Linked DNA regions of Arabidopsis thaliana. The main gene of each other region encodes a partner of the protein of the gene in region 2 in a complex. Each region holds a gene or a part of one and is shown on either strand. Other genes may lie near its edges.

Region 1 (7,693 bases), on a different chromosome or scaffold from region 2:
TGCGTAATCCATTGTTTTGAGACCTCCCAAGGAGAGTAATACAATCGCTAGCTCGTCTTTTCCCCATTTTCTTAGTCCATTGCTTAGACTCTTTAACACTTCTGTATCGATCTCTGTCACCCAGAGCGGCAAACAGCTCACCATTAGACTCACCAAACCGGAAATATATGTTCGCCAAGTTGCTGTTTCACATCCCACTGATATTTTCCCATCTAAGGCACTCGCGATGAACTCCAAGTGGCTTCCCAAGATTGCTTGGCGGCGGCGTTTGGATGCAGATGATCTTGAATCCACGCCCCAAGTAAGTGCTCCACATAGGACCACAAAGTAGGCAAGGGCATGACCTCTTAGCTCTGCAACTAGATCCGATGGTCCTTGTTCTCGGTCTGATTTGTCAGTTGATAGAAACCAAGATGGGATCGTTTCTTTGATGAGAACGTGGACCACACCTAAGCCACCGGTTAGCCATACCAACGAGGCACTCAGCGAAGCAGCAAGCTTCACTTGAGTCATTGCTGTTGCTAGAGAACTTTGGCCGTATCTTGATCCGTTCTTCACTGTCTTCAGCTTTTCCAGCTTCTCCTTTGAGAGCCTGTTCTGGGCTATATCCTCCACCGAATGTATCAGCAGAGAGAGAATCTCTTCCGATACGGAGACAGTATCTCTGAGAGCACGATACATACGGAGATAAAGAATCCCTGGTGCTACAGGAGAGATCCCTCCATAGAAATGAGAGCCGAATCCATGGCCAAGAAGAGCTCCAACGCCACCATCATTTGACATGGGGGCAGCATTCAAACCCAGAGTGGCACTGAAGCAGTTTCTGAGGAGCTGAATCACAGCGTCTTGGTTGTGAAGGAAGACGGTGCGAGAGGCAGAGAAAACAAGGAAGTCAAACCAACGTTTCGCCTTTTGGGTCCATAATGAAGCTACAATGGGCATGCAAGGCCAAGGGCAGCCTGCAGCCAAGCACTCCAGAGCTGGGCCAGCCAGGTTGAGAAACCGCTCTGAGGCTTTGTCAATTTTGTAAGTAATGGTTAGACTAACAAATGCGGCTAGAGGTAAAGGAAGCGTTGCCGGAGAACTCCCTCCTGCAATACCACAGCAAGAAGTCAACCATAAGTTCAAAAGACAACTTTAACTTTAACACATCAAATCAGGACAGGTAAAAAGCTTATTATAAAGAGAGGATGGTACAGACTACAGAGATGGTAAGCCAAACAAACAGACTGGCATTTTAAACACGTTGAATAGTTTTACCTGGAGCAAGGCTAGGGATATCGACGCCTGTTGTTGCAAGAATTTTCGTTATATATTCCTCAACAGTGGATAGATTTGTAGCTGGACTTGGCCAATCCACGCCGTTCATGAATACTGGCTTCCAAACACCTCTACTCACCTCAGCTGAGAAATAGCTTACTATCGTTGCTAATGATGCCGGGAGAAAATCTGCTAAGTCTTTCAGCCCTGAAAGAAAAACACTTGTTATTCTGTAAATAAATTCACTTTACTGTAAGAAATGCATCTGATATAACAACTGATCAACACAGTCAAACATCTCTCATTGGCATTCAGAGTTGCCAAAGGTCATATAGACGGATGTTATCGCACATGACAACACAATTAGGAATCTGATCCAGCAAAACAAAACAAACCTGTAGCTAACTGACGAGGCGAAAGCCTTCCATGAGTACAAGCGGTTAAAGCAGCATCGACAACATATGGAACGGCTTTGAGGATATCCCAAGCAGGAAACTCAGGTCTAATATTGCTATCTTCACTTGCAGCTCCTGATGAACTGCTTGTGCCCGAATTTACTGGATTTAAAGTCTGACTGCCTCTGACCTTTCCGAACGTCATGTTGAGAAGTGCTTCAACTGTCTGATGAACGGGAGATCCATGTGTAAGTCCAGATAATGTGGCTGCTATGCATCTTTGGTGCTGCCTATACCAGACTTTCAGCTTGGGGAACGAGTCCACAAACACGGGCTGGCAAGATGCTGCCCTTGCAACTTCTGAAAGTCTCTTTCTGTTTCGGTCTCTATCAAGGATCTCCGACGAAACAAGATAAGAATTACGCACTGAAAGAAGATGTTCAGGAGTGAGTTGGGAGCCAACTGTGGGAACATCTCCCACACCATGCTCAATAGGAGGATGATTGAATCTCCATAGCTTTAAAAGAAGAGTGAATGCATTTGAGAAAACAGAATATGCTGATATTGCTTCTCCAGAAGGAAGAGTCCATGATACACTCGGGGTGTAAGATCCAAACTCTTCACAAATTGGCATTAGTGAGCAAGCAAGTTGCGGAACCTAAAAAGTAGCCATCAAAATCGTACATTACATCTTTCAGCAAATTCACTATTAAGTCTAGTAAACTTGGAAGTACAATTTACATACCATGCCATGTAAAGAGAAAATTTGAATGCTGTCAACAGATCCTATCCCAACAATAACAACATTCAACATGCAGGCATAACCAATCAAATGATTTTCAGCCCTGGAATAATCTGCTGGAACGGGTGGGGATAGTAATCTTGTAAGATATTCAACAGTGTGTTCCTGTACATCGAAGAAAGATAGATAAATCAAACATGTCTGTTCAACCGAAAATTCTCACTGGTGGAGATTCTGATTAGTGGATTTAATGCCAACCTGTATGTTCCAACCCCGTGTGAGAGATGCCCCGCAAAGAACTGTAGCAGCAGATATCTTCTCGTCATCCGATCCTTTGACTGCAACCTCAAATAGTTTCTCGAGCTCTGCTAAGCTTCCATCAAATCCATGAGGTATTTCAGTTGCTTTACTCTCGGTAAATTAAAAAAAGAGCATTACCTGGCTAAGAAACAAAAAGGAATAACTGAAGAAGAAGCAGAACTTAAGTCAAACTAGAATGCAACCACTATTCTCATTGTGGCAATGGTTTCCTTAGGTTACGACTTTGAAACTCCGTAGCTTAATTTTGTATAGTAATTTTAAATTACCACTGACTGTATGATTTGGAGGGAAGACTATGTGGATGAAGTAGTGTGGAGCTAATAGAGCAAAAAGAAACAAAAAGAAGATAATAACTCATTCTACCTTGAAGCAGGAACTGAAACTAATGTATTCACCATTGCGGCATTTAGTGGAGCCCCTTTCACAAATGATGACCAGCAGGGTACTTCATTCGGCAGACTCTGAGGTATTTGGTTGATTCGGCCATTAACATAGCCAGGCCACGAATAAGCCGACATATCCAGTATGTTTCTTGCAATACAAGCCTCGACTATCAGGTGGCGCATGTTTCCAGCTACGGCATGTACATAAAGTATGTTAGGCACGAAAGAGGCCCATAAAATCAACAAATGAAGACAATCAAGCGACAATAATGAAGAATACGAAGACAAACAAATTGGTTTAACTTCAATTCAATAGAGCGAAATTTTATTAAACTTACAGCAGTTGACAGGCATGTCCTTCATGTTTATGACATCAAAACATGACTTTCCAACATTGCCACCAGACAAAAACAAGATTGCCTTTGTGGCAGCCTTGTTGGCAGCAGAAACAACGCATTTGGGAGGAGCCAGCAATCCAGGGAAATCACCGAGGACCTGCAAACTTGTAACAAGGTCATCTCGCAGCTTTTCCATGACAGATTCGTATTTCCCCTCTTCAATAAGGTTTGCGACCACAAGAGGCACAATACATAATGACATGCACAGCCTTGTGTCCAGTCGAGGAATAGGTCCCTCAATAGGATCCCTTTCCTAGTAATAAAGAAAAACGAGAAAATCAGAACAGCCATTAGATACGGAAAATCTAAACTTATCATGGATGACAGAGTAACAATCAAATAGTACAGCTTCAGTCAAGAGAAAGTGTGTAAGAAAGTCCTCTGAAACTGCAGGTAACAAAAGTCTTGGGAATTATAACCAAATAACAGAACCAATTACAAAAGCACACGGTGTAAGTAAAACTTGCAAGCAATAGCAATTGCACTTTTCTGGGTACCAAAGTAGTGGTGAAATCACAAACAGAAAGATCAGTAAGAGAGTAATCTAACCCTTTGAACAAGTCGGAGAGCTGCTATCCAAAGCCCCAAGAAAGTGTCATGCCAAGTGCTCCCATTAATTTCTTTAAGTGTTTTAGCTAGACCTGAAAATTTAATACTCCCAAGTCATTTCGTTATATATTTGAGATATCTTTTCTTTGGTCAAAGCCACAAGTGAAAGAAGATGGAGTCTACAAATTACCGGTAATGATTTCAATCGCACTAGTTGGGTTTACTTGATATCCATCCATTGCATCTTCAAATACTAGATCAAGAGGAAGCCAAAGTGAAGAGAGACTTGCTCCATGGCATAAGCCAGCATAGGAAGAGAGAGATCCAAAATCCACAATTGCATTGGATTTCCGTGCTGAAGTTACTTTGCTATCATAAGAATACCCAAATCGTCTATTCGAAATCAATTGTAATAGATCCCCAGAATTTAGAACCTTTGAGTGTTTTAAAGCCGATGAATTTTCTCCAAGAAGCTGCACTTTCTGGACAAATTCATGCCACTTCGAAGCCCTGAAAAGAAATGGATAGCAAATGGATTAAAAGAAAAACACTTTACTACAGAGACATTACTTGTCAAATTCAGGTCATGATTAAGCAAAATATCTGCCAATGCAAAGAACAACATAACTATGATGCCACTGAAAAAACTTTACTCTCGTTAACTATGATGCATACCTGTTGGAAGATACCAAGTATAGCAATCTCGCAATCACTGTATTTCTGAGGAATTCCGCTATCAACTCAATAGCCATGATGGTATTCAAACTCTGTAACTTCTCTAGTGATCCAGTCTTTTCATTATATCTCTCAGGAGCATCAATTTCCATATCTTGAGACTTAACTAGCCACTGGGAGCTCGAGTCTTGGCTTAGCTCTAGCAAACCTTCATCACTTAACGCTGCATCTAGCAATTGTGACACCATCTTAAAAACAAACTCTACTAAAAGCACACCAGGTTTGCTTGTGTCCAGATCAAATAACTCTGAAAGACGAAGAATATTGGATACTGAAATCATGACCCTGTACAAAGAAGAAGGAAGATAAATACCAAGTAAGCCAAAACAGTATTTTGTATTCTCTAATTCTACTTCTGAGTACAATGTTAATGGAAACATACATTTACTAACATTTTTCCTACAGAGCCAAGCATTTGAATGAAACAGTAAGTAAGAAGTATCAACAAAAAAAAACTCACTTCTGGTAGTGAGGTCCACTAATATGATCTTTAATGGTGAACATATTTCTCTTGAGCAGCTCCAAGTAAATTCTATAAGCTGCTTGTTGCGTAGACCGGGTTGGAACAACTCTGCAACAATCAGAAAACATAGAACTACAATAAGATAAAACCAAATCTAAGATCCATCACAAAATCGTAGAGATTTTCCAAACTATAATTCACCAACTCACAATCCAAATTACGAAATAAATCATCAACACATAGAACCCTAAGGAAACAATCCATGAGCGATGAATCCAGACCTGTCAGCGAGAAGAGCAAGAACAACGAGAGGAGAAACAAGCTTCAAAGCCATAGCTCTTTCAAGAAACTTCCAAACAATAGGAACGTTATTATCCCAACAAATGTACGAAACAATAACCTCCGCAAGCTCCGTCGACGGTAACTCCACGGCGAAGAATTTCAAATTCGATGATAACTGAGAAGCCCAAAGACGAGGATCGACACAGTTCTCTTGAGCCATCTTTGTCAGCTCAATCACACAATCCCAGACGGTTCTCCGTCCAGGAACCACCATTTTTTCCGTTCAATCAACGAAGCTCTCTGAAGAAGAAGAAGAGCGGTTAAAAGATACAGGAACTCTTCAGATTTGATTTGGCGAAAAAAAAATAAACGCGTGTGCGTTTGTGTGTGCGTTTGCAAATGGCTGAATAGTCCTCGTGAGAGAGATGATTCAGTGCGTGTGAATTGTCCCGAGACGAAATATGAGAAAGACGTCAAAAGAGTTCACATTTCACAAATCTCTCCACTGTTTATGTCAACTTGTGTGTTATATTTCTTGAATTTATAAACAATTTTGGATTTTTTTTTATTTGAATTGAAATTTTTTAATTGATTTTAAAGTTAAAAGTACAAATTTCTTCTGATGGGTTCTACAAAATTTAGTTTATAATATATATATATATATATATATATATATATATATATATATATAGTTAATATGCATCTTTGTCAATAAAAGGCGTAAAGTAGATTTTTTAAATTAATCGGGAAAATTAAAAATTGGACAAATCTCCTAAATTTCCATTAAATTTCAACTTTTTTTTTTTTTTGTTATCCACTAAAAATTTTGCGAGTGACGAAAATGGTTAAAATCGTTGTGAGAAAATTCGAACTCTGCATAAAAAGACATTCATAAGAAATCTTTTAACTAGTGGACCATTACCATTTGGTTCTAAAAATGTATGTTAAGTGTTAACATAATTGTTGTAGACATTTTAAATGGCAAAATTATCTTACTTTCTTTTGTATTTCAAAAGTAATTTAAATTCAAAATAACTCCAGTTATTAAGAAAGAATCAAGGTGTATATATTTATTTTATGAATAATTGAAGTGAAAATTAAAAGTTATTGACCGGTGGGAGTTTATATTTTTTTTTTCTTTGAAAATCAATTTTGTTTTAAACAATAATAAGTTTAGATAGATGGTGGCAAGGGTGAGTTACAAAGCCATGATTTCGAAGTATGACTTTTGGAGGCAATTTTGCATGAAAGAGTAATGCAAGAAGAGCTTTTAGGTAATAATGCAAGATAATACCATTTTAGTCAAATTTTCCAGCTTTAGTCATGAGTCTAATTGATTAACATTACCATTTCTTGCCAGAAAAAAAAAAAAAAAAACATTACCACGTTCTATGGATCTTCTTATTTTCAACGCAGGGAGTAATCAGAAATTCTATACTGATAAAGATGGGTTAACAATATTTCTTCCAAGTTTTGTAATTTTTTGCATCCAATTTTAAATAAATAAATACAAATAACTTTCTTAAAAAAACTATCATTTTTAATAAATGAAAACTTAGAGAGAAAGAAGAGTTAAATTGGTAAATCGTAAAAATAATTTCTTTTTTTATGTAAAAATATATCCGTAAAAATTTAGCTAGTCATTTACGGACTGAACAGTTAAAAATATTTTATCCAACATCGTTGTAAATGGATGTAACAATAAGTAAAACATAAAATAATAACATAGAAAGAAAAAAATGTAGTGAAAATGCTCTAGAAGAAAAACCATGTTAAGTCTATAACCTAAATACAATTAAGAAATTAAATGCTAGTAATCTAGTTTTCCATGATATTAATATTGGACTGCACATAGTTGACAATTATAAGATTCATGTGGCGATTTATGAATTCTGATGGGATATTTGTCAAAGCTATATATTATGAAATTAAAGAGTTCGATAATTGGTCAAAGTGAAGTTGGTATCAAAGACATTTTTTTACTTTATCTGGAATCAGTAGCTTAGCTACACTTGAATACTGTATTAAATATTGGTCGTCCGAATAACAACAACAACGCATGGGGGAAAAAGTCAAAAAACTAGTTTAACATATTTTTGGTGAACAAAAAAAATAAAACAAGACATATTTTGGCTACAATCCGAAATTTCTTGGTAAAAAAGTAC
Region 2 (5,838 bases):
GAAACTCTCTCTTCCTTCCCTTCCCACAAACTCTAGCCTCTGTATCTATTCTTTTTCATTCTTTCAATGTAAAACAAACAAACAAAACAATGTTTACTACATTTTTGTTTTTGTTTTTGTCTTCAAAGTACTCTTGTTTATTAAGTGATTTATACAAAAGTTTACAAGTTATGTAGGATGAACTAAGGAAGCTTATGTTTATGGGTTAGAGAGACTACATTGGATGATTCTTCTAGGATTTTGAATCACCAAGAACCATCAACAAAGCCAACAGTATCTTTCACACAAGTTACTAATATCTTCTTAAATAGTTTTACTTTGTAAGAACCATTTCCTTGAGTGGGTTTACAATGGGACGGACTAACTTGCGTACAAAGACCGTTTTTTATTCACTATTCATAATTTTGGTCCGCAGTTTAGTAAATAGGAAAAAATATAAAAACTCTAGGGGAATTGGAAAACTAACCAAAAAAAAATATAATTAAGAAACTAGCATAAAAAAAAAAGCAATGATATCCTCTATATTTTATATATTAATTCCAAGTTTACCCCCTCTATCTCTTTCCGTCTACCTCTCTCTTCCCTTCTCTCTCCCCTCTATCTTTTTCTCTCTCTCTCTTTCTCTCTCTTTCTTTTTTTCTCCCCCTCTCTCTTTCTCCTCCCAATAAAGTTCCTACACCTACCTCGTTACTTGTTTTTTATTTCAAATTAGAGTCTCTTAATTACTTTAGGGTGATATTTGATTTGGGGGTTTCGAATTACAGAGCGAGGAACACAAGTTAGGTTCAGGGAATTGACTTTCGTTGTTGCACTTGATGATGAAATAGGGTTCCGTTGTTGCGCTTGGTGTATTGGTGATGAAATTGAGTTCCGTTGTTGCATTTTGAGAGATACTATTCTATTTTGTAAATAGTATACTATTTACGTATACCTTGTTCTATATACGTTTTAAAATGAATTGTTTGTTTTGATTAAAGATGTTAAGTGATTTCATTAATGTTTTAGATTTAAACCCTTGGGTTCCCTATATATTATCCCTTTAGGGTTTAGTATACTTCCATCAAAAAATATTGTCAATTTATATAGAACGTTATGTTATTCATTGACAACACTATTCACATCTAAATTATTTTGTGTCTATTTTCAAAAATTTAAGTCATGATATTTGTAGAAAACTATACAACTTTTTAATAGATATATCATGAACTTGAATTAAATTTTTTAAGATCAGATAATATGAGTTACAATTGAAAAGGAGTAAAGAAAAAAGAAAGAGAAAAGAGAATTTCTCTCCTACCACCTATTTCTCTTCTCACCTCAACACCAATAATAAAGTCACGTCAGCTCACACTAATCATTCTCCTTCTTCGCTGACGAAGCGTAACACCAGGACAGTGATGTCTTTTTACTCTCCTTGAAGGTTATTTACTACATTTACAAATTTATGGTGTTAGTTGGTTAATTATTTAGTAAAAAAGTGTTATATCTACAAATCACGCAAAACTCTATTACGGACCAACAAATAGTTTATTTGAAAGCAAAAAAACAAAACTTGGTCCGTAACGGATTATTGTCCGTCTTAGAAATATAATGGTCTACTCCGCAAACAGATTTGTCCGTCTTAGCGACATATTGGTCTAGTCTGCAAACGGATTTATCCGCTCTGTCTATTTGTTGCAACCTTGTAAGTTTTCAAAGAGGAAACACATATATATGTTATGGATTCGGTATGTTATTATATTTCCCGGTTCTATTTCTCAAACACACTCTCTCGTCTTCTCCAATAACTAACTTCTCCAAATCAAAGCCTTCTTCGAGATTTTGCGCATTCCTCGTTTTCTAATTCGTAAGTTTCTCTTTTGTGTGTGTTTCTAATCGAAACTTTTGTGTCAATTTCAAATCGGAAACCTAATTAATTTGTTCAATTCGCTGTGATGTTAAAAACCCCTAATTACGTTAAATTTGGAATTAGGGTTTGTGTATTAGCTCTGTGTTATCAATGGAGACACAGCCGCAGCAACCACCTCCTCCTCCGGTAGCTGAGAAGCTGAATCCAAAACTGGAGAAGGAACTGAATCTGGAGTCGTTGAAGACACGAGCCGTTAGCTTGGCCAAAGCCATTGCTCGAATCCTTGAAGATTTCGACGCTTATGGTCGAACCAACACTACTCCTAAATGGTTCATCATCATCGAATCCAGAATTTGATAATATTTTGATGTTTATGAATTTTTTGTAACAAGGATTGATTTTCTTTTTGTTTTGAACAGGCAGGATATTCTAGGGCAGTATTCGATGGTAAATCTCGAGCTTTTTAACATTGTGGAAGAAGTAAAGAGAGTTTCAAATGCGTTTGTTGTGCTTCCTAAGAACGTCAATGCTATGAACGCTGCAAGTATGGTCTTTTTTTAGTTGTTTTAGTTGATGAGTTAAATGAATTGTGAATGTGATGAACTGGTTTAGCTTAGCATTTATCAGTGAATCTGCAGTTTTACCGGTTATGTTGTCTTCGAAATTACTACCGGAGATGGAAACTGATGACAATGCCAAGAGAGAGCAGTTGCTTCAAGGTGTTCAGAGTTTGCCTATACCAATGCAAATCGAAAGGCTTAAGGTTAGTTTTGTAATGTATTTTTGTTGTGATTTGTTTGCTGGTTTTTGAAATGGTATCTGTTATTACAGGCGAGGATGGATATGATTGCAGCAGCTTGTGAAAATGCAGAAAGAGTATTAGCTGATACTCGTAAAGCTTACGGATTTGGCACTCGTCAAGGCCCGTCTATGCTTCCTACTATGGATAAAGGTCAAGCTGCAAAGATTCAGGAGCAGGAGAAAATGCTACGAGATGCTGTAAATGACGGTAAAGGTAAGAGGGTTTTAGAATTTATTGAGTCATTTGATAGTGTACGAAACTGCAGTTTTCTGTTTTGCTGAATTCCTTCTCATGTTCTTTTACAATGGTTGTTTCTAGGAACACAACTGCCTCCAGACCAGAGACAGATAACCACTGCACTTCCACCACATCTGGCAGATGTGCTAATTATCAATGATGCAGGTAACGATTTCATTGATCTGTCTGGTAGAAGTAAACCCAATGCTTGAATCTTCTTTATTTTGTTACTACTACCAATGGTATTCTCACGTTGTTAATGGCTCCAAAAATTCTCTTTCATTAGGTAAGATTGCATTACCTGGGCAATCAAACAACATTAACAATCAAGGAATGATGCAGGTTAAACTAGTTTATTCTCTCTAGTTGTGATGATTATTACTTTTGTTAGTATCATTGTCTTTCGAGGTTCATGTCTTTGTGTGTTTTTAGGTTTCCGGGACTCAATTTGTGGGAAGATCAGCTGCATCTCCATCTGGTCCTAATTTTGATAACACAACATCTCCCTTACCATATTCCAATTCTCCTCGCGCTACGGGTATGGTTAATGTGCCTTCGCCTCAGCATCAAATCCAGCAACAACAGTTTCAACAGCAGCAGCAAAGGTCAAAATTAATGCAGTTGCCTCAACATCAGCAGCAGCAACTACTTGCACAACAACAACAACAGCTCAGGCAATCTTCTATGCAGGGATTGGGTCAAGTAGGCTTTGACATTTTGCAGACGTAGCAATTGACTGTTTTTTCCTACCATACTGCTTTATTGAGCAACATGCTAATTCTTTGTGTAGAGTCAGATACCAGCACTTCATGATATGCATGGGCAAGCTCAGCAAAAGTTTCAGACGGTAAGATAAATAGAACTACAACATAGTTAGGGGATAGATGTGTGAAGTGAAAAGGATCAGACACTACCTTGGTCAATTATTTGTATCATTATGCAGTAGTTATGGCCATAAATGAAGATGACTAGACGTATTTATACAAGTTTACATATACCAAGTGAATGATTCATACTCTTGAAAAGTTATCCTAGATCTTGGGACTTGGCAGAAGCTTTTATATAAAAGTAACTGTGACAGTTCGTAGTTTCAAACAGTAGAATCAAATGAAATTATGAAACAAGCTTTTGTCTTTTAAGTGTGAGTTTTATCTTATTTTTCAGTCACATGGGCAACATCAAATGCCATATTCCCAGCCAATGGGCGCGCACCAACAATTCCAAGCTAGACAGCTCTCAGGTGGACATATTCAGCATAGCATGTCTCAAGGACAGCTCAATCCAGCGATGAACCGTCACTTAAACCAGTTTTCAGGTGGAGCCAATAGTGCATTGTTTACTTCTGCACAAGGCTCCCCAAGTAGCCAAATGGTCAGTCACCTCTCTTTAACCTCTTGAATTGATGATTCGAAACAATTACTAATCATATTTTCTACGTACTTTTTCTTTTAATTCTAGATACCAAACATGTCATCTATGCAATCTCAGACACTTGTTCCTAGGATGCAGGTTAGCTCAAAAACTCCTCTACTCATTATGTTTCCCAAATCTGAACGATGAACATTGTCTTAATCTGATGATCTCTTTGGATTTTTATGGTTGTCAGCAATTTGGAGTTTCGGGTACCAATCCCCAAAGAAGCCATTCGTCTCAAATGTTGGGTGACCAGAGTAAGTAAACAAATCTCTTCTAAAACATGTTTTCTTACATCAAAATCGATTCCCTGACTATTTCATTTGTCCTATCTTTACAGTGTTTAACACCAGCGGAATGATGCAAACACAGCAAACACAAATTCAGCAATCGCAACAGCAGCAGCAGCAGCAACAACAAGGAGGCTATGGAAATATGCAGACGAATCAGCAGAGTCTACAGCCTAATAACATGATGCAGAATGCTCAACAAAGGCACCAAAATCCTCAATAACCCCTTTTAAATAATTTGGGCTTGTAATGGGCCGATGCCTGTATTTTGTAGTACCAAAGGCCTGGCCCATTCTTTAACATTAATACACTCACCAGATTTCTCTAGTTGTATGGTACTTTCACACTACACTAGTACACTTTGTTTACTTGTATCATTGTATGAGGTTAAAAACGTGAAGCAGAGATTGGACGGTGGAGGATTGTTTTCGTTCTGACATGTTTATTGAGAATTCGACACGTGGCATCGACGTGAACATCTCGACGCCGTTGATGGGGTTATAGAGACAAAACGAAGACGCGTTTCTGTTGTACACGGGACTCGAGAGAGCGACGTGTCTATGAAGTTTACCTGTTTTCTGAACTTTAAACAGAGAGCTTTAAAACTGCGACTCGAAAGCTATTAAATTTTCTGACAATTTGTTTTGTTTCTTGTCAACTTAATTTTATATACTCATTTTTTATGTACTTATTTAGCTCAACGACTCGTTTAGTTACCTCAATCAAATTTTGAAATTTAGTTACCATTTCTTTTAAATTTTTTGTTTGCTTTTGTTACAAATATGAAAAACTAGTTTACTTTGGTTTTTAGGAATTTGCGAAAAAATCACTCAAAATCGCTTATTTTTACAATTTATTGTGCACATTCAAAAAATGCAAAATAAATTTATAAAATTTAAAATAATACACAATATAATTTATTTGTGCGATTTTGCATATGTTATAAACGTTTTCACTATAACATATATTTGTATTCAAAAGTTTTAAAGATATAATTGAACTCATCATCTCAAAGGCTTTGATTTGATATATTATTTTCTTTAATATAAATATTCAATGCATAATTTTCTTTAAATTAATTTTATATAAAATAAATATTTTACTATATATTATATGAAATAAATGCTTTATTATAGGGAAAAAACCCAAAACAAACCTCAACTTGTTATGAATAAAGATGGATGCTCATTATAACGCCCATCATCTAAACTCATCATCTAGATGTTTCTAAGGTTTTACCCTTTCCT
Region 3 (4,459 bases), on a different chromosome or scaffold from region 2:
TTTTTCTAACATCCAGAGAATGACATATCATACATGATCAAGGCAGGTGATGATTACTGAGCTTACTTACTTTTAACATGCAAAGACAAAAACAAACAAAGGTAAATACATTATAAAAAAACAAAGAGGTTCGTCTCCTCCTAATTCTCCATCTCCCTCCTAATTCTCCATCTCCATCCTCTTTCTCCTGTCCATATCCATCTTAATCTTCATCTCCATCCTCTTGTGAAGAGAAATAGAGTGAGTAAGAGGAGAGTCCATAAGGAGAAGAAGATTACTTTGATGGCGGATTCGTCCATGCTGATGATAAATTGACAAGACCGACTGCTAGGGTTCCAAAGATATTTGACAGGATTTAGCTTTGAACAAGGTTAATTTTTTTTTGTTCAACTATTTTTTGTTGATTCCCTTATAAAGCTGTTGTTGTTGTTCAGATACTTACGTGTAGTTACGAACAAACTGTCGGGTCTTCAATTTAGTTTAGCCCTGCGTTAAGCCCATATTGGTCTAATCTTCTTATGAATCCGTTATGGTTATAATAGTTCCCGTTAAGCCGAAATTGTAATAATAAATGTTGAACCGCACTAACCGGCGGAACTAAATGCCGGTTCACGGGTAACATTGAATAAAGATGATATAGGCTTTACTTGTTGAATCATGAGATTGCACACGTCTGTCTCTCTCTCTCACACACACAGGATCAATTAAAAAAAGTTTCGAGGGCATAGGTTATTAGCGCTAATTTACACAAAATGGGATTAACAAAAAGTATACTTTATTGACCATCTAAAGTGACGAAAGCATCCTTAAGAAGTCCTTGTGCTTCTTCTCTCCTCCTGCACACAACCAAAACATCAAACGGACCCATAAGAACAACCAACAAAGCTTCTGAAGAATCTTTAAACAGATGATAGATTGATATTAAATTATTAACACACCATAAAGACAGAAAACTTAAGTAGCATATACAAACCTCTTAATGTCTTCCACAGCTTGTTTCCTCTGTTGAATTTGAAGTTCCATAATGTGAATAAGCGTTGCTCTCGCCTATACAACAAGAGAAAGATCAAAACGATGAAAAAACAAAAAGTGTTGAAACCATGTTGTAATTAATCGAAAGATGAGAGCTTCTTTACTTGGTGAGGCCTCAAGGAATTGAGAAGGTGATGCAAGTTCTTGAAGATTGAAGAAATTTCACCAATTCTCTTCGCATATTGAGAAGGTCTGTCAACAAGAACATCAGCAAGCTCCAATATATGTAACTGTAGTTCTCTATTCAGTGACCTGAGTTCCTTCTTGTAATCTACACACAAAGATATTTGAACTCAAAGAGGTACTTTCAAAGAACATAACTTGCAAATGAACTCATGTAATAAGTTTGATTCCAATGAAGGGAAGAACCAAAAACCATACTCTAGACAGCCAATAGCAATTGCATTTTGAGTTTGATTTCACAGAGTTAGGAGAATGACATACCAAGATTAGAATCTTTTGGATAAAGTTGAGGCACTCCTTGTTCTTCTAAGCTTGGAAGAACATCTTCAGTCTACTAACCAAAAAAATTGAAAATTGCTAAAAACACATAAAGATGAAGATTTTAAAGAGGGGGAAATGTGGAGGAGACTCACAGTATAGTTGCCTCCAAAACAGACGTAGGTGCCTTCAATCGGAGGAGGAGGTTCAGGAGCAGAATCAGTGTTTTCTGAGAAATCCTTGTAGAGTCTGTAATATGGAGGAGGAGGTGGATATGTAGCTGTAGCCATTATTCTCTACATATCCAAATCAAAAACTAAGCAAAATCAGTAACAGATTCCTAAAATTAGGGTTTCTAATCAAAAACAAATCCGTCTACCGCCATAAAACAATCTGTTCTCATTAGAATACAACTATGTCATCACTACCAAATAACTCTGCGACCACTAGAAACTAATCTGTCATCACTAGAAACTAATCTGTCATCGTCACGTTGAAGTAGCCGCCACCACCACAACCGTGTTATTCCTAAATCACCACCAATTTGTCCAAAATCGTCAAATGCTTAACAGTAGATTTCAATTGATTCATGAGGAAAAAAGAAAGGTCAATACAAAAAATCCAGTGGCCACAAATGGGTAGGGAGACGAATGAGTTGGTGGCGACAAGGAGAATCTGAGGGAGAGAAATAAAAAAATCCCTTTCACGGGAAGCATAAAAGACAGAGTGAAAATAATAGAACTCACTGGAGATTCGCCAGAGAGATGGCTCGGCGGAGAATTCACGCAGCCGGAGAAGACGATCGGAAGAAGACACGCTCACCAGAGAAAGCAAATCGAGATTTGTTTCCTCTCTTTTAGTTGGGCCTTTAATTTAGTTCAGGCCTGCTTTAAGCCCATATATTCCTAATCTTCTTATTCCTCGTGAAGCTTAAAACGTATTTCTAGAGCCGTTGAGGGATTTGCTATATGGGGGAAGACTCTGTTCCACCCACCTATATCAGAATTCAGAACCATTTTATATGCTTCAAATGACAAAAGAAAAATGTTTTTAAAATATTGGAATTCAATTGTGCAAGTTTCGGTATAATTTGTTTAGGTGATCCTTGCAAGTTGCAACAACTACTTAACGGTTTTTGAGAAGCCTTGTAAAAAAGGTTTTGTTAGGATGGTGATGATGAATGTATGATGGGTGACGACTAATTATGTTTATGATTTTATTTATTTATTTATAAAGTATATGCTTTGCTTAGGTTGAGTAGTGAAGCTAGCTAGTTGGCAAGTAATGGCTTCTTTTGGCGGCCAAGCAATTCTCTATCTCTCTTTCACACACACAATCCTCGACGCCAAGACTTAAATCAATTCCTCCTGATTTATTCATTTTAAAATTGTGATGATACTAGCTTCACAATACACTCAAAAATATTCTTCTTAATGATCTATTGTATGTATAGTAACACGTTAGCAAAAGATAATCATTGAGAGCCAAAGACAACTAATGTGTATAGAGTTGAATGAGTAAAAGTTGGATATCAATCCAGCTCTAAGAAACTCATTATGTAGAATGAATATTAAAAAAACATGTGTTTCTTGAATTTTATAAATTGCTGTCACCGAGTTTATTAGTATACTATACTACAAAGACCTAGACTACAGTTACAAACTACGATAAGGGAGGTTACTTCATCGAATACATATTATTAGCTAATCACAAGATTAATAATGGTTTGATCAAATAATTGGATAACCAAAATAAAAATCAAAGTTTCTTAGAAAGAGGCGCAAACATAGGGAGTGATATTATATATTTAATTCGTTTTAGCTAATATCATTATAACTAAATATTGTATACATAACTAGAATCATGATTCATAATTGTGTGTTGTGTAATTGTGGGTTGGCTCAACTGCACATGAACTGCTCGACCCCAAAATTCGATTGCCTTTTACTTTCCAATTAATTAACTTAATTATTTAATCAGCAACTTAAGTGTACATATATCCGCAATGATTAGTAGTATTAAGAAACAAAAACAGAATTCGACGTATTTTCAAGTTAAATTTGTACTTTAGTAGCTTTTATATATAATAGTTGGTTTCAAATCTTTAATGTAATTTGTTACAAAACGTAATAAGTTTGCAGGAATTTATAATATGCTTGAATTGTGTGTGTTGTGGTACTGTGTTTCGTGTTGAAACTACTTGTGGATGACTCAAGCCATCAATATAAAATTATTTATAAAGTTTTAGGATTTTAGTTAGTGATAATGTGAAATCAAAGGAAAAAAAATCAATAAATTGAGTGGCATATTTAGAATACGCAATCCAGTTTGATTCTTCTTAATATAATACATTACATTCCAAGTGTCAAAATTGTAGTTCATTTTATTAATAAGAAAAAATGGTATATGTAGAATGACACCTTCTTGAACAGAAAACACAGATTTAATTTCATTTTCAGAAAGAAAATAAAATAACATCTTCTAAGATTAGTGTTGACATTGAATCCACATTTTTGTTACTTTAGCTATAATGATGTGTGTCTTTTGAAATTATAAGGATGCTTATGAGTATTTAATAAGTAAAATACTAGTATTTTTTTTTATGTGATTCATAAGACAAGCAAAACAAAAGTTAACCAAAAAAAGAGAAAATCATTTAAAAAAAATTGAAAGGAAAAAAATAAAAACAAGAAGAGAACAACAAGTGGTTCCAGGCTTGCAAACCAAAACTTCCAGAAAGGAATCCTTCACCAAAAGTTATTTTGGGTTTGCTTCTTTTCTCATCTTTTCTCTTACCCATTACATTATATATACACACAATACTATTGTGTGTATAAACAAATACAATCACATACAAATATATATAAATACTTAGACATATAAACCAAACCCACCAAACACTCTTTGATACTTCTCTCCATATATACATATACGACCTCTTGTGTTCTTGAAATACAGAGAGCAAATAAAAAACGGAGGATCATGA

Evidence for each region. The genes of interacting proteins can lie anywhere in the genome.
Region 1: MED8 (region 2) and RFR1 share a complex: the UniProt entries of both Arabidopsis thaliana proteins name them as parts of the mediator complex.
Region 3: MED8 (region 2) and AT5G03500 share a complex: the UniProt entries of both Arabidopsis thaliana proteins name them as parts of the mediator complex.

Annotation. Positions count from the first base shown.
Region 1 is NC_003074.8:8,465,747-8,473,439, reverse strand, and holds the start of RFR1 (REF4-related 1), read right to left. Parts: upstream 6,043-7,693; 5' UTR 5,803-6,042; coding exon 5,528-5,802; intron 5,355-5,527; coding exon 5,244-5,354; intron 5,069-5,243; coding exon 4,724-5,068; intron 4,559-4,723; coding exon 4,239-4,558; intron 4,141-4,238; coding exon 4,049-4,140; intron 3,753-4,048; coding exon 3,440-3,752; intron 3,293-3,439; coding exon 3,082-3,292; intron 2,771-3,081; coding exon 2,656-2,770; intron 2,563-2,655; coding exon 2,401-2,562; intron 2,314-2,400; coding exon 1,656-2,313; intron 1,468-1,655; coding exon 1,261-1,467; intron 1,092-1,260; coding exon 1-1,091. UniProt on the Arabidopsis thaliana protein: Component of the Mediator complex, a coactivator involved in the regulated transcription of nearly all RNA polymerase II-dependent genes.
Region 2 is NC_003071.7:903,979-909,816, forward strand, and holds MED8 (mediator subunit 8), read left to right. Parts: upstream 1-1,534; 5' UTR 1,535-1,846; intron 1,847-1,972; 5' UTR 1,973-1,999; coding exon 2,000-2,178; intron 2,179-2,268; coding exon 2,269-2,393; intron 2,394-2,487; coding exon 2,488-2,612; intron 2,613-2,680; coding exon 2,681-2,864; intron 2,865-2,969; coding exon 2,970-3,053; intron 3,054-3,174; coding exon 3,175-3,230; intron 3,231-3,320; coding exon 3,321-3,590; intron 3,591-3,678; coding exon 3,679-3,735; intron 3,736-4,052; coding exon 4,053-4,259; intron 4,260-4,346; coding exon 4,347-4,397; intron 4,398-4,494; coding exon 4,495-4,558; intron 4,559-4,641; coding exon 4,642-4,814; 3' UTR 4,815-5,294; downstream 5,295-5,838. UniProt on the Arabidopsis thaliana protein: Component of the Mediator complex, a coactivator involved in the regulated transcription of nearly all RNA polymerase II-dependent genes.
Region 3 is NC_003076.8:875,898-880,356, forward strand, and holds AT5G03500 (Mediator complex, subunit Med7), read right to left. Parts: upstream 2,479-4,459; 5' UTR 1,877-2,478; coding exon 1,853-1,876; exon of another isoform or gene 1,770-1,852; coding exon 1,629-1,769; intron 1,547-1,628; coding exon 1,477-1,546; intron 1,304-1,476; coding exon 1,137-1,303; intron 1,048-1,136; coding exon 974-1,047; intron 837-973; coding exon 776-836; 3' UTR 543-775; downstream 1-542. Other genes in the region: AT5G03510 (C2H2-type zinc finger family protein), read left to right, coding at 4,456-4,459. UniProt on the Arabidopsis thaliana protein: Component of the Mediator complex, a coactivator involved in the regulated transcription of nearly all RNA polymerase II-dependent genes.